Lepisosteus oculatus: one gene and its partner. The protein of the gene in region 1 purifies or fractionates together with the protein of each later gene. This does not show direct contact. Links are inferred from orthologs where the notes say so. Each region holds a gene or a part of one and is shown on either strand. Other genes may lie near its edges.

Evidence for each region. Proteins that work in one complex are often made in the same cells at the same time.
Region 2: the proteins of fxr1 (region 1) and cep63 purify together in Homo sapiens (co-immunoprecipitation; 3 studies listed by BioGRID and IntAct, with this or other methods). This does not show direct contact. The link is inferred for Lepisosteus oculatus from reciprocal best matches to the Homo sapiens genes FXR1 and CEP63.

Annotation. Positions count from the first base shown.
Region 1 is NC_090708.1:169,660-176,912, reverse strand, and holds the start of fxr1 (RNA-binding protein FXR1), read right to left. Parts: upstream 3,015-7,253; 5' UTR 2,957-3,014; coding exon 2,906-2,956; intron 159-2,905; coding exon 106-158; intron 1-105. UniProt on the Homo sapiens protein: mRNA-binding protein that acts as a regulator of mRNAs translation and/or stability, and which is required for various processes, such as neurogenesis, muscle development and spermatogenesis.
Region 2 is NC_090708.1:10,044,941-10,052,660, reverse strand, and holds the start of cep63 (centrosomal protein of 63 kDa), read right to left. Parts: upstream 3,003-7,720; 5' UTR 2,716-3,002; intron 2,620-2,715; 5' UTR 2,581-2,619; intron 2,313-2,580; 5' UTR 2,289-2,312; coding exon 2,248-2,288; intron 2,068-2,247; coding exon 1,812-2,067; intron 880-1,811; coding exon 784-879; intron 515-783; coding exon 392-514; intron 1-391. Other genes in the region: smx5, read left to right, coding at 5,991-5,993, 6,986-7,053. UniProt on the Homo sapiens protein: Required for normal spindle assembly.

The sequences.
Region 1 (7,253 bases):
TCCAGCTTGATCAATCCTGAGCTTCCTGTCTTGAATTCTTCCCAAAGCAGCTTGGTTATGATTTTTTTTTTAAACCCAACACGAAATTACTGTTAAAATACTTACTTATTTTCAAAGACAATGGTAAGTGAGTCATCATGGACATCTTTGACAAATCCCTAAAACATAAGTAAGGAATTCAAGTTACATCTTAATGACATTTTCCAGATTTATCCTAACTGCCTTCAGTTATTGTTAGTCATCCAATGTGCATACCCACGCAATACTATTTTAATGTACAAAATGTAATAGAATGTGTTTACATTTGATGTTTAAAGTTAACTGATATTAATACTTTTTAAACAAACTTTTTAAACGCCTTGGAAAAAGCAGACAAACTCATTATTTAAACTCATTATTTGTCTTAGACCTTAAAACTAAAACTGACCCAGTTAAATGTATAATTAGTTCAATAACCTTACCAAAATCCCCCATAGTAGACTCTAAGGAACAGAATTAAAGACCACTGCTGTACACTACTGAAGTAAATGACAGTTTAGATCCAGTTCCTTGACAGTTTTTCCAATTATGTCAACCTTCTAAACCAATGTGTTTATAGATGGTTCTCTAAGGCAGCACAAAAAGCATTATAAAAATGTGTTTAAACATATTTCATTACAACACTGGAGAAAGGAGCCTGTACAGATGTTATGTAAATGTCTAAATAGAATACATGAAGAAACAAATGTCTGAAATCACATATCTACTGTTGACAACAGTTTATCATTTTCTTCAATAGAAGAAACATATTTTACATGAAACAAGAATCACATCATTTAATGAGATACTTAAGAGATGCTTTTGCTTTGTGTTAGAGAAGGATTTGCATACCCACACAAGTACAAAGGGCAAAGTGGTGCTGGTTAACAGCATGACTGCTAAAGGACAAATTCCAGAGACTAACACCACTAAACTCTTCTCATTAATTCTCTCCAAAAACTATTTTTTTCTTTTCCATCTGTCATAGCTTTTTTATTTTACTTATGTAAGCACTACATGATATTACATTATATAATTATATTATACATTACATTATATTTTATAATAATCTGATTGTGAAAATGTTCTACTTTGAAACTACATAAACTGCTGTTTTTTTCACTATATTCAGATATTGTTTAAGTCATACTGTAATAAGTCATTACTTTACCTACAGAAAGTTAAAAAAAGAAAACATAACAGAAATATTTGCGTTTAGTAAAAAGCATCTGTCTTTTGCATAACTAGCTATGTGTAAGCCCATGTTTTAAATATAGCTCAGAGTTCCAAGTTATCCTTTGAACCTGACAACAGCTCAAGATTGACAGTGAACAGCTGTCAGACCACATATTGCTCTGGGATTGAGTGACATTCTAGGAATAACTTCAGCATGATACAATAACTACTTAATACTATTAACAGATGTATTTTCCTACCATGGACTGAACAAGTTAGTTCAACAGACAGTAACAGCTGTCAATACCTAAACATCTAGTAATCACACATCTTAGTGCTTATGTACAACAAAATTAAAAAGGAAAAGGAAATTAAGAAATGTAAAAGGCACAAAGTATTACATTTAGAGTATAAGCCTGATTTTTTTAAGGAGTCGACAGTACAATAATCTACTTGTTACATATAAGATACAAAAGTGATGCAAGTCAAACGCAACAGTGAAATGACATGCAGAAGAAGCAAACAGAGAGCTCACAATCAAAGACACCGCTAAACTAAACACTGCATTTTCATATGAACACAGGAGATAGTTTTCAAGTCACATAAAGACAAACTCTTCAGTGAATTTAACTGCATGCAGTGCCACATATTTTATAAACCAGGCCTCCAATCTTAAATAATTGCTTACACTTATATAGCGCTTTTCTGGACACTCCACTCAAACTGCTTTACAGGTAATGGGGATCCCCTCCACCACCCCCAGTGTGCAGTAAATGACATTCCCTTCAACTTCCATTCTTACGACAAGGGAGATTCCTTTGTATTAGAATCAGAACGGGTTCTTCTGCTTCAAGTGCTTATCATAATCAGTTCCCCTAACAACAGTTAGACCCAACCTAAACACATATCAGTCGTTAGACCTGTCACGCTTTATTTCAGAAATACGAAAAGGCCCTTATTAAAAAGATTCGGCACATCTAAGAGCTGGATTATAAAAACAAAAATATAGTTACGTTATTGACAGCTACTGTTTAGTAGACTTTGGCATATTAACAAGACTAATGGAACAAAGGAATGGAAATGTCCTTTTCCCATCATCGTGCAAATGAAGGGAATGAGATACACGGACGCTTCAGGTGCGTCTCTCAACACATTTGAATCTTCCTGCACTTTTATAAAACTTCTCTTAAACTCACCAGACCTCCAGGCTGAGCAAGTCAACGGATTCAGTACTTACAAATCCCACAGTGACTGCTGATCGTGTTCCACTCATTTTGTATAAAATATTAAAAACTATGCCCACCATTAAAACATCAAAGATCTTGTCAACATGAATAACGTAACAATATAACGAACAATATTAATCCTTATTAAATAACACCTGAGATAGGCCTGTATTAACAAGGGAAAGAATATATCAGTCCAAAAAAGTTCAAATATTTAAGTTTACAAATATATATCTCCAGACTGAATACATAATATGGGTTATCAAACTCTAGAATATAAAAATGCATATATACGTGAGTATGTAAATAAATCATAATGTAACTGACAAAAGATCAGACATTTTTGTGTCCTCGTCAAAGGCACTTTCTTACAGATTTATTTAGCAAGAACAATCCCGTGAAAACAACCTGTACATTTCCGTACACAAAGCTTTCTTCTCCTTTTTAGATAATTTATTTTATCGGAATGATTTGAATGTTTTTACCTTGTAATAAGCTCCGTTGGAGCCACGGACTTCTACCGTCAGTTCCTCCATATTGGCCACGCAATGTACTCTGGGAAAGCATTCTAGAAACTTACACCGTCACAGAGCACCGTGCGTCTGCAGAGTGGAGTGTACATACGGAGCACATCACTGCACAACATGTATACACACAGTACATAACTGCACAGAGCACATCATTGCACAGCATGTACACACACAGTACATCACTGCAATCATGTATACACACAGTACATCACTGCACAGAGCACACCACTGCAAGCACGTATACACACAGTACATCACTGCAATCATGTATACACACAGTACATCACTGCACAGAGCACACCACTGCAAGCACGTATACACACAGTACATCACTGCACAGAGTACACCACTGCACAGCATGCACACACACAGTACATCACTGCACAGAGCACATCATTGCACAGCATGTACACACACAGTACATCACTGCACAGAGTACACCACTGCAAGCATGTATACACACAGTACATTACTGCACAGAATGTAAACACACAGTACATCACTGCAGAGAGTACAACGCTGCTCAACATGTATACACACAGTACATCACTGCACAGAGCACACCACTGCAAGCACGTATACACACAGTACATCACTGCAATCATGTATACACACAGTACATCACTGCAAAGAGTACACCACTGCACAGCATGCACACACACAGTACATCACTGCACAGAGTACACCACTATTACTATATACTATTATAGACTATTTACATCTATATTGGGTGAACCACATAGGAATCACAGTCCTTTTTATACAGTACATAAGCCCCGCCATTTTAGGGGACCAAAAGTAATTGGACAATTAGCTGCTCAGTTGTTTCTTGGCCAGCCGTGTGTCATTGCAATGTTAGTTCATGCACAAGAGAGCTGAAAAAGGGTCTAGAGTTAATTCTAGATGTGGCATTTGCATCTGGAGTCTGTTGCTCCAGATGCAAAAGAGGACCAAAGAAGTGTCAATGCCAGTGAAGTTGACCATCATGTGGCTGAAAAATCAGAATAAATCAATCGGAGACATAGCCCAGACATTAGGTGTGTCAAACTCATCTAGTACATTAAGAAGCAAGAACGCACTGGTGAGCTTAGCAAATGACCTGGTAGACCACAGAAGACCACAGTAGTGGATGGCTGAAGAAGACTTTCAATTGTAAAGAAAAAACCCTTTTCGACCATTGAACAGATCAGGAACACCCTCCAGGATGTAGGCATGGATGTGTCAAAGACTATACCATAAAGAGAAAAATACACCAGCATAACCTCAGAGGGTTCACAAGATGCAATCCACTGTAAGCTTCAAGAACAGAAAGGCCAGGTTACAGTTTGCTAAAATGCAAATAATAAAGTCAGTAGAGTTCTGGGACACAGTCTTACACAGTCTAGACGAAGATTAACCTGTACCAGAGTGAAGGAAATAAGTGTGGAGAAAAAAAGGATCTGCTCATACCACCTCATCTGTGAAACATGAAGGTAGTGTCATGGGTTGGGCATGTACCGTATGGCTGCCAGTGGACCTGGCTCACTTGTCTTTATTGATGATGTGACTGCAGACAGCAGCAGCAGGATGAATTCTGAAGTGTACAGAGGGATCTTATTTGCTCAGATCCAACCAAATGCCTCAAACCTCATTGGACGGCATTTCACCTTGCAGCAGGACAATGACTCCAAACATCCTGCTAAAGCAACTATGGAGTTTTTCAGGGCCAAAAAGTGGAATGTTCTCGACTGGCCAAGTCAATCACCTGACCTGAATCCCATTGAGCCTGCATTTCACTTATTGAAGACGTGACTGAAGGCAAAAAACAAGCAGAAACTGAAAATGGCTGCATTACAGGCTTGGCAGAGCATCACCAGGGAAGAAACCATGTGTCTGCTGATGTCTGTGGCTTGCAGACTTCAGGCAGTCATCGATTGCAAAGGATTTGGAACGAAGTACTAAACATGACAATTTTAAGATTATGTTAATGTGTCCAATTACTTTTGGTCCCCTAAAATGGGGGGAGTATGTATAAAAAGGACTGTGATTCCTATGTGGTTCACCCAATATAGACTTAAATACCCTCAAATTAAAGCTGACATTCTGCACTTTAACAAAATCCAATGTACTGGAGTACAGAGCCAAAACAACAAAAAACGTTTCACTATCCAGATATTTACGGACTGCACTGTACTGTATATACACAGTACATCACTGCACAGTATATAAACACACAGTACATTACTAAACAGCATGTATACAGATAGTAAAACACTGCACACTTTATAACACTACACAGCATGCTTTATACACACAGAACAACACTGTATAGAGTACATCACTGCTTAGTGTATATATAGACACAGTACATTACTGCACAGTACGTAAACACACACTACAACACTTGTGTACCTTTTCGCACTGTGTAATGAAAATGGCTGCACATCACTGCACAGTATATCTACACAGTACAACAATATGCAATGTACAGTATATTCACAGTAAAAAACTGCACAGCATACCTCACTGTTCAATGTGTATGCACAAAGTAAAACACTTCTCAGAGTAAATCTCCGCACAGTGCATATACATACAGTACAACAATGCACAATGCAGTCTTCACAAAGAAATATACCCACAATACTGTACAGTACTGCACGATGTACTGTACATACAGAGTACATCCATGTACAGTACAATAAATACTTATTATAACACTGAACAAGTACTATATACACCACACAGCACAGTACTACGCAGTATGTACTGTATACTCACCGTACAGCTTACGGTACACTTTAGCATAGTACAAACTGAATACTACAGGACTACACAGTATAGCACTGCACTGTTCTGTGTATATAATACCTGTATAAATAATTACAAACCTGAAGAATGCTCCACAGCCGGAAAGTTCTGTTTCTTTTCTTTCCATTCAGCGTGGAATAAACCTTTACCCGTTCCTGTACATGCGATATGATGATTTTTCTTTTTACATCATTTTAGGAGATTAGTTTTTCAAAGACGTTGCGATTGATAAATGGAACACCGGGGAACTTATTATATGTCCTAATTTTATTGTAAATATGATCGAATAAAACAAGTTTAATGGAATATACATTATTATTTTTTATTCAGGTGCTTTCACGTTCTTTAACGATTATTATTGCGCCGACAAACACAAAAGCGAATGGAAGTGCTGCCACCTGTCGTGCATGGTAAATATTACAGCGGAATTCAGCTAACGTGATTAAATGGTCAAATTATTCCAACACCGGTCTGTGAATGCTTTATGATCTTAGAAAACCCGTGTCAAAATTAGTTTATATAGGATACAAAAAAAAATAAAAAAGATTTTACTATTATTAATTATGTTTACATTAACTAAAAAATAATAACCTCTAAGTGATTACTGGACTGCAGGTAAATATAAAATATAAAAACCATATCTGAGAGCAGTGAAAAGCAAATTTAGTTAAATGCATCTTGTGTTTAGATTATGGATTTCAGACTTATTAAGTATTATTGCCATAGCAATATCTTAAAATTCAAACACTGTTGTCAATTTTAATAGTAAAATGATGTACTTTCTTTTTTTCCTTGATTTATTGGAATAAAGTCAGTACTTTACAACCAGTGAGTGTGAAGACTTTGTTAATGCAGCATCTTATGCCTATTAATGGTAAATCTGCTTCTCTCAAATTCCATTGTGCTTTAGGAGTCAGGGACAGCCTAATGGGTCCTCTTTCTACTGAAGACGCTGTGCAACTGAGGAAGGTGCATATTTTGTTACTTCAGTTTCTTCTAATAACTTAAAAGTTTTTAAAGCACAGCAGAGGTGTCATTCACAGTTCCTCACTAAATAGTACACCATGGAATACATTACTGTTAAATATAAGATAATTTAAAAACTCATTAGTGAGTATTGTAACTTATAGCATCTTAATGCCTCTGAGCATAAACATACTTTAAACAAACAAATAGTGAAGTGCTATAAAACCAGAGAATAGTCTTAACAGTGGCAATTGTAAGTGTGACACATCACTTAATAAAGTCTTCTACATACTTTCATATGCCCCTACTAATATGGTAGCACTTGCACTCTGTGGTCTTTTCTCAAGATGTTAACACTGCTAACTATCTGTTTGGTTCAGTGGCTTCTTGCAGGCCTGGCTGTTTTCTATCTTTCAACCCCAGTCAGCTTTGAGGCTATCTGAACTGAAACGTGAGCCAGGTCTGCCCCTGCCCTTAGTAATGCACCAACAATAATACCTTTTAAATCTGGGCTCTTATATCAGCTTGCTTAGTGGAGCACACCAACAGA
Region 2 (7,720 bases), about 9.9 Mb from region 1:
ACAAAAGGCAGTCAGGAAAGGCCACAGTGCAGACGGGCAAAATTCTGAACTCTATCTTCTGAGACGTCTAAGTGCAATACACACATTTTGGAAATGATATGACAGAAAGTTCATTTGCTTTACTAAAAAAAACTTGTTCTGGAATCGACTTATTTTTTAGGTTCAGATGTATAAACTTCCAATGATGTGTGGCAAAGCGTACCACTGCTCATCCCAGGACAGGAAAGTGGAAGATCATTCAGTGACACAAAATAAGAGCGTGAGTTGTACTATTAGCCCCCTAATACTGTAAAACTGAAGAACTCCAAATACTGTCAAATCCATTTACTGATCCAGTATTGCCATCTCAATTCAGAAGGTGGTGTGGAGATGAGTCAAAGCTTCACATCACCTCTATCTTGCCGTTTAATCTGCTCAGTTCCGTCCTGTCTTCTTCTCGGCTCCTGGCTCCTTCTCTGGCCTCCTTCAGCTGCCGGCGTTGCAGCTTCTCGTAGCTCCGCTTGAGCTTGGACAACTGCAGCGAGGTTCAGACACGCGCCTGTTCAACCACACTAATCCACAGCTTCACAAGATTCCAGCGCAAGTTCGTTCCTTCCCTTACATTTGCCAAGTATCCGAGTAACTGACTGAGTGCCACGTGCAGCACTTCACAGTGATTCAATTAACCTTTGTGCTGGTATCCTACAGCAAACCGTAAAACTTTTACTTGCTTTTCTTTCCTCTGTTCTGCTCTGCCTCAGAGTGTTCACGACAGATGTCCGGAGAAAACCTGCGGGGACACACCTCTTCTCGAACTCGCTGCAGCTGCTCCTCGTACTTGGAGACCAGCTCCTGCTTCTCATTCTGCGCCTCTAGCAGCTGCTGTCGGAACATTCCCACCTAAGAAGGAATGGACAAGAGTAACTAGGTGCGCTCTGAGGACTCCATTGCCCATTCTCCACCTCACTGTGGGATACTAATGCTGTAAGGAGCACTGGGAAAGCATTCTGGCCATGTAAGGAGGAGGCACATACTGGCAGAGACATTTACATACAATTCATGGATTTTACGTAAACATCTGCTGAATCTCAGTTTCACGTGAATACCAGTAATTGATTCTGGCTGGCTGATAGCTGGGCAAATAACAATCCGATTTTGCTTTAATATGAACGAGAAAAGGTTTTTGCCACTCATTTCATAGGATATTTTCATACCAAGTCCGTTCAGATGACAAGCATGCAAAGCCTTCCAACACAACCTCCATGCCAGCTCGCCTTCAGCATGTCCTCTACAAAGTTCACTTGAAAGGTTTTGTCCTGAAGATCTAACAAAGACTTCCTTGATTCTGAACACTGACCAAGAGTGAAAGCAGAATGTAATTTTCTTTGATAAAAAAATATTTAAAAGAGTATTTCGTCGTCAGTCATAATGATCTACAAAACACACCGTGAAAGCTCTCTCTCTTTAGCAAAGACTGTCACTTCTCCATACCAACTTATCATCCCCCCCCGAAAATAACACAGATATGACCACCAATCTCTTTTCCACTCTCCTATACTTTTCTTCAAGAACACAGGTGCAAATCAGGTCCATTCGTCTAATGAAGTAGTATTCCCGTAAGGCAAGCTGACAGGATTGACACGTCTTCACCATGACGAAATTTCCCAACGGGGATTATGAAATCTTACATTTATATAGCTGAAAATGTATCTTCCTACAACCATGCAAAATCTAAAAATTGCCAAGCTTGTCTTTACCTACCCCCGGTCCACTACGCCAATACGAAGCTTGTCGCGAAACACTTCTGACAAAAGTACTAGCTGCGGCAGTACCTCCTTGTGCTTGTGCTCAAGAGCGTCCCTGGCAGAACGGAGCTCCTCCTCTCGAACCTGCAGCCGCCCCTGCAGGGCCCGGTGCTGGCTCTCCCACTCGCTCCTCTTGTGGGCCACCATGATGTCGATCTGACGCATCAGCTCCTGGAGCTCCGGTTCACACGACGACAGGATGGCGCTGGGGAGGAGAGAGAACGCTGATTCCAGCCTCTCCACGCACCTGCCCGTGTGGTTTCTGCCTGAACTCCCTCTTTGTCTAGGGAGCAATGGTGGAAACATAAGCTGTCCCATCTGCTGCTGAAGCAGGTGTGCGTAACATGCCTTTGGTGGGAGTTAAGTGGCGGAGCAAAACACAAACTCCAAATCCACATCCACTAAGCGTGAGAAAAACAGTTCTAAGGGAAACATGATAAGCCTAACTGTGAAGTCCCCCTACCTTGCAGTTTCATCCTGTAGCGTCCCCCAAAAGGCCTCCATTTCACATTAATGCCAGTAGGGCATCTGTCACATAAAAACATGATGATCTTAAGAATGTAACACTGTATTATTCATTCAAAAAGTAAATAAAAAATAAAACAACGCCATCCAACGTACACCGACTGCAACATACTCCCTTATAAGTTAAAGCGGATGTCTAATGGGGGTACGAAGATGAATAGCAAGGACAATATCTCTTCTAAATGCAAAAGCCGGGCAGGAAGAAAAGATTTGATTTGGAGAAGACTCGGTGATGAAAAACATCTTATGTTTCTCCAAGAAGCAAACTTACCTGGTTGCCGCTTAGAGAGGTCAAAAATACAACCAGAGTCTGGAAGAAAACGCAGGAAAACGAAAGAGATTAATTTAAAGGTATCGATACGGACGGAAACCCAATGCTTAAATACATCCTTCCCACACTGCAAACCTTAACTGCGTCCAGCTGTTTCCATGGTTAAAAAAATACAGGGGGCCGCTTCTTCTCTCTTTTCGCCAGTCTCCCTTACGATATCGCAAGCTCAGCTCACAAAAGGTGTCGTGCTCATTAAAAAAAAATGCCTTCAGAATAAAACGTTATCGTCTTTCTCCATTAGCTCTCAAACTTGCCATCCGGCTACACGCAGTCCCGAACAGCTCTGGCGAGTTCAAATGTTTACAGCTCTGTACGAAGAAGGCATCATGGGAAAACATGGTGGGTCTCGGAAGCGTCGCGCCCGCTGATTTCTGTCCTCTGTAGCAGACAATAAGCTCTTGAGTGGGGCTCTTTTGCCGGGCCCCGGAAGGATAAAATAACTCAAACGAAAATTGGAAAAACTCACCACGAATACGTTTCCTGCGATTCTAGACAAGGGTACGTTTAGTATTTATGGATGCAACGTAACGCCGTTTGTACAGGCTCGTTGGTCTAGGGGTATGATTCTCGCTTAGGGTGCGAGAGGTCCCGGGTTCAAATCCCGGACGAGCCCCAGTTTTATGCAACTACTACTAATAAACGCGAATACTTACTGATGTCGAATTAAATTCATAAACTGGACTTGTGTGAATTCATATGTATGCGAGTAGTTTCGCTACTCATAAGAATCAAAAAGTGTGTTTTAAAATGTTCATCAGTCAGTTAGATAAGTCTGCATTGGTACACCTAACATGTTATTCTTTGGCTACATTGGATTAAAAAAAAAATCAGTGCAGTGTAGCCGTAAGAAAATAAAAATATACATGCAGTGGAGGAAGGACATCGTGTGGCTCGTTGGTCTAGGGGTATGATTCTCGCTTCGGGTGCGAGAGGTCCCGGGTTCAAATCCCGGACGAGCCCAACTTTTGAAAACATGAAAAGTAGGCATCGGGTTTAAATAAAAACCATCCCTTGTGGGTATATAGCACTTTAAATGTAGGAGGGGACCCATGTCAGTATCCATTGTTGAAGCTCCTGTGCAAATAGAAGGCATCATCCTACCTGTGCAGGAAAGACCGTACGAGTTCGATATTTAAATTCAGACAGGACACTGTCTTACGAACAGAGGCATGGGATGTGCAATAAAAAGACATTAAGACGTGTATTGTCTCATCCTAAGCATCCACGCACACCTGAAGAAGGCCCCACAGCCGAAAGGTTGTGTTTCTTTTCTTTTCAGCACGGAATAAACCTTCACTTGTTTATTTTCATCCTAAGCATGCCACCGGATAGTGTACCGTGTCCCCTTTCATCATACTGGGACGTGGATGTGGATCTTGTGGTCCGGAGGGAAGAGGGTGCCACCACCCCAGCCCACTGGTTCACGGAACACCACAGATCGCAGTTATCCCACCTCAGTACTGGCCAGGCCCAGCTGCGTCTGCAAGCAGTCGATTGATCCCGGAGTCTCGTCTGGACGGTTTTTCAAGAACCCTGGCAGTTTGGGCAAAATGGGTTATTTCAAACTCTAGTGACTTCTGTAAAAACAAGGATACAAGAGTTTATTAGCTGCTGCTATCATTAAGGAGTTTAATAGCTGCTATATCATGCATTAGATCGTATCTGGTTGCACAGTGGCGATCCCGCCTGGAAAACAAGCCTCACAGCCTTCTCTTCTTTTCTGCTCTGTTATGCTTGTTTTTTTTTTTAAGGCAAACAGCCTAGCCATTATGGTAACGTAAAAGCTCCGATATGCCGACACGTAATACACAGTCATTTAGAGCAAAGATTATTTCTCAGTCATAATTAATTTAGAATACTCATGGTGGTATAAGTCATAATTCATACGTTCAAGACGTTATAATGTCTTCAGATAAAAAGCAAAGCGCTGATGTAGGCTTTTGATGCAGCGATTGATGTTTTGTTTCCGTCCTTTCGGCTGCTAAACGCTTTGCGGCTCACTTTTTTATTGGTGACTCTCGATTTACCTGCAAACGTTTTAGTGCCATAAATTATAGAGACTTCCACTGCAATTATGCAGTATAACTCAATCTAATTGTTGTTTTAATATGAATGAAATGTGGATTATTATGGTACCATGCATGGTGTTTTAATCTTGTGCAATCATTTGGGCCCCATTAATTTACACCTAACGTATTTTATTTTATATGTGGCTTTCTAGAAACATATGCGCTAGCGGGCTCGTTGGTCTAGGGGTATGATTCTCGCTTTGGGTGCGAGAGGTCCCGGGTTCGAATCCCGGACGAGCCCCATTTTGTTTACTGTGTTTTGAATGGTTTTCCGACCTTAATTAAATGAGTGACTCTCATATTCCAAAAAAGTAGCACCGATAATAATGACGTAAAGCCAATAACGTTAAATAAAGAATAAGTGAAATTAAGTGAAAACACTTCTCAGAATAACAAAATCGCCAGAAATAATATCAGCAACAGGTATTCTAACTAGAACTAGAACTGGAATGACCAAACTGATTTTTTTCATTTTAACTAAGAAACACCGATACGTATATATTTTCATCAATAGAGGGCAGAGCAGCAGAAAATCTCAACCTATAACAATATTCCCTTCGTATTCCAAAAGGGTCTAAATCATTACAGAACACAGCACAAACACCAACACAGTTGTAGGTTTTACTGTGTATTTTATATTTTATATTTGTGGGAAAATAAAAAATATTTTTATGGTTAAAAATGCACAGAAAAAAATACATTTTTGTTCTAGTACATATACTAAATACATCTTCGTTACCTTAAATGTATTGATTTGATTTTAAGCTAAATAGAAGCGATATTTTATAAACAATAAAGCAAACGTGATTTATGTTTTCAATTTTCAAATGTTATGCATGTCTTTAATTACAGAGACTATTAATGGTTAACAAACCACTGCAGTTACTGATACAGATAACAGTAACAAAATTAACTACACCTAAAATAACTAAGAACTTATTTTGGTAACTTTTTGACATAATAGTTAAAGCCTTTTGTTGAAAGCTTCCTGATATAATTCTTCGTGTGTAGGTCCCTTCGAAAATACACAATTCCTGTATCCTCTCTACCAATATGGCGATGCAATCTGCATGTGATAATAAAATATTACTCTTTCTTCCATAAACTCTATGGTTATACCACGTGTCGCCCAGCGGACAAAGCTGATTGGTGAATATCATTTCGGCTCATTTTTATGACGTCAAAGAAGTTGCTCCAATGGGTGAGTAGGACTTCTAATCCCGTTCTCGTTGGGATGTAAACGGAGAGTAAAGGCGCAGTGGGGGTCGAGTGTGAGTGAAAATGGTGAGATCCCTTTTCTGTTCAATTTTGAGAACAGTTTTTAATGCTTTCTGTGTACATTTCTTTTCACTATCAGAAATTAATTTCTGAAAATGGTTTTGACTACCGGCACCGTGACGAGATTAAAATTACTCAAACGTTTCGTCAAAATATCTTTAAAAAATACCAGAATTAATTTCTTTAATCCATTGGCAACCAATTCAAATTTGAAAGAGCATTGTAATAAAGCTAAATCTTGTTTTTTGAACAGCCGTACGGTTTGCATTCACCTCTCTTTGCAGCTGGATGTGCGTCTAATCCGCAGGAAAGCTTTGTTTTAAGTAGATGCTCGTTACGTGTTTCGAAGGGTCTGTGTGTCGCGGATGTTTCTTGGTGATTCCGATTCCGCTTTTTTTTTTAATAACTTGAGCTATTTAAACTATGATCACGTTTTTCGCTCTGTTGAATATTCCAGTTGAACTGTTACTATTACTAGCTTAACTGTTATTAGTAACTTAAAATTTGCGAACTTTTAGCGCCCGTACACGGTAGGTATGATTCATTAAGTAAAGCGCCGGAGAGCCCATCTCTAACGAAAAGTGTAGACGCTGAGGACATGGGTTTGGGATAGGCAAGGCCTAGTTTAGTGCTCTAGGGAAAGATGCTGAGCCGAACAGGTTGCCCCGAAAGGCATCTTAAACGCCCAGCTTCTTGTTATTCAATTTCGAGCTTGATCGGTGCAGTATCTGCAAATCAGACTTATTCCAGACCGTCTCTTGCTTTCCCGTAGTCTTTTTGGTACCTTTACTGAAGGAAATTCTGGAATTGTGTTGTTTACAGCAAGAATCACACGATATTAATGTGCTATCCCAGGCATGTTTCAAAAGTATTACTGATGTTCTTACAGACACAATTCCAAGTCTGCCTTTTTTTGTAGTGACCCCGTGTAGATTCTCATGTGATTTGGCCAGGATTGCTGGCAGGGGGTTTCACAATCCTTTTCTTTCCCTCTGCAGTTATTCTACTCGTTTTTTAAGTCCCTTGTGGGGAAGGACGTCGTGGTGGAGCTGAAAAATGATTTAAGGTGAGGGCCGCACTGGCCAAAAGAAAGAGAATTTCGAAGTTGTGGCAGTCGGTGAATTTGTAAACAAGGTTTTGCCTCAGTTTCCGGAAGTGGAGGAGTTTATTGTTCAGGATGAGAGCCAAGCTGGAACGAAAGCCTGTACATCCACTGGCCTTGCAGGACTGTGATCGGCCTCCTCTGTCATAGTGGGTTTACACTGGCCTGTTATCTCCAATGAATTTAACTAAGATCTCTTAATGTCTAGAATAAAATGACAGAAGATAACAGCACATCATATCCATTTAAAAAAAGAGAAAGCAAGGTCCAGGTACAATATTGTTTGTACCTCCTTATAGGTGTGTCAGAGCAGAAAGTTAAAATACTAAAGGGCAGCATTCATAAAGACCTGAAGGAATGAGGTGGTTATATCAGAAATACAAAAGACGATTCCAATGTCAATGAATGCTTAGAATGTATATTAAGGTTTTTATTAAGACAGCGCTTTCAAATGTGTTAGCAAACCACCAAACACAAAATAGTTCAACAATGGCAGTATGAACTTGATGCAGTACAGCAATTAAATTAGCTTATGTTCCATAATCCATAGCAACATTTTTGTTAAACAGTGTAAGATGAAGTCACAAGGAAAAAACCTTTAAGCATTTTTTTATGGAGCCCAAATTATCTA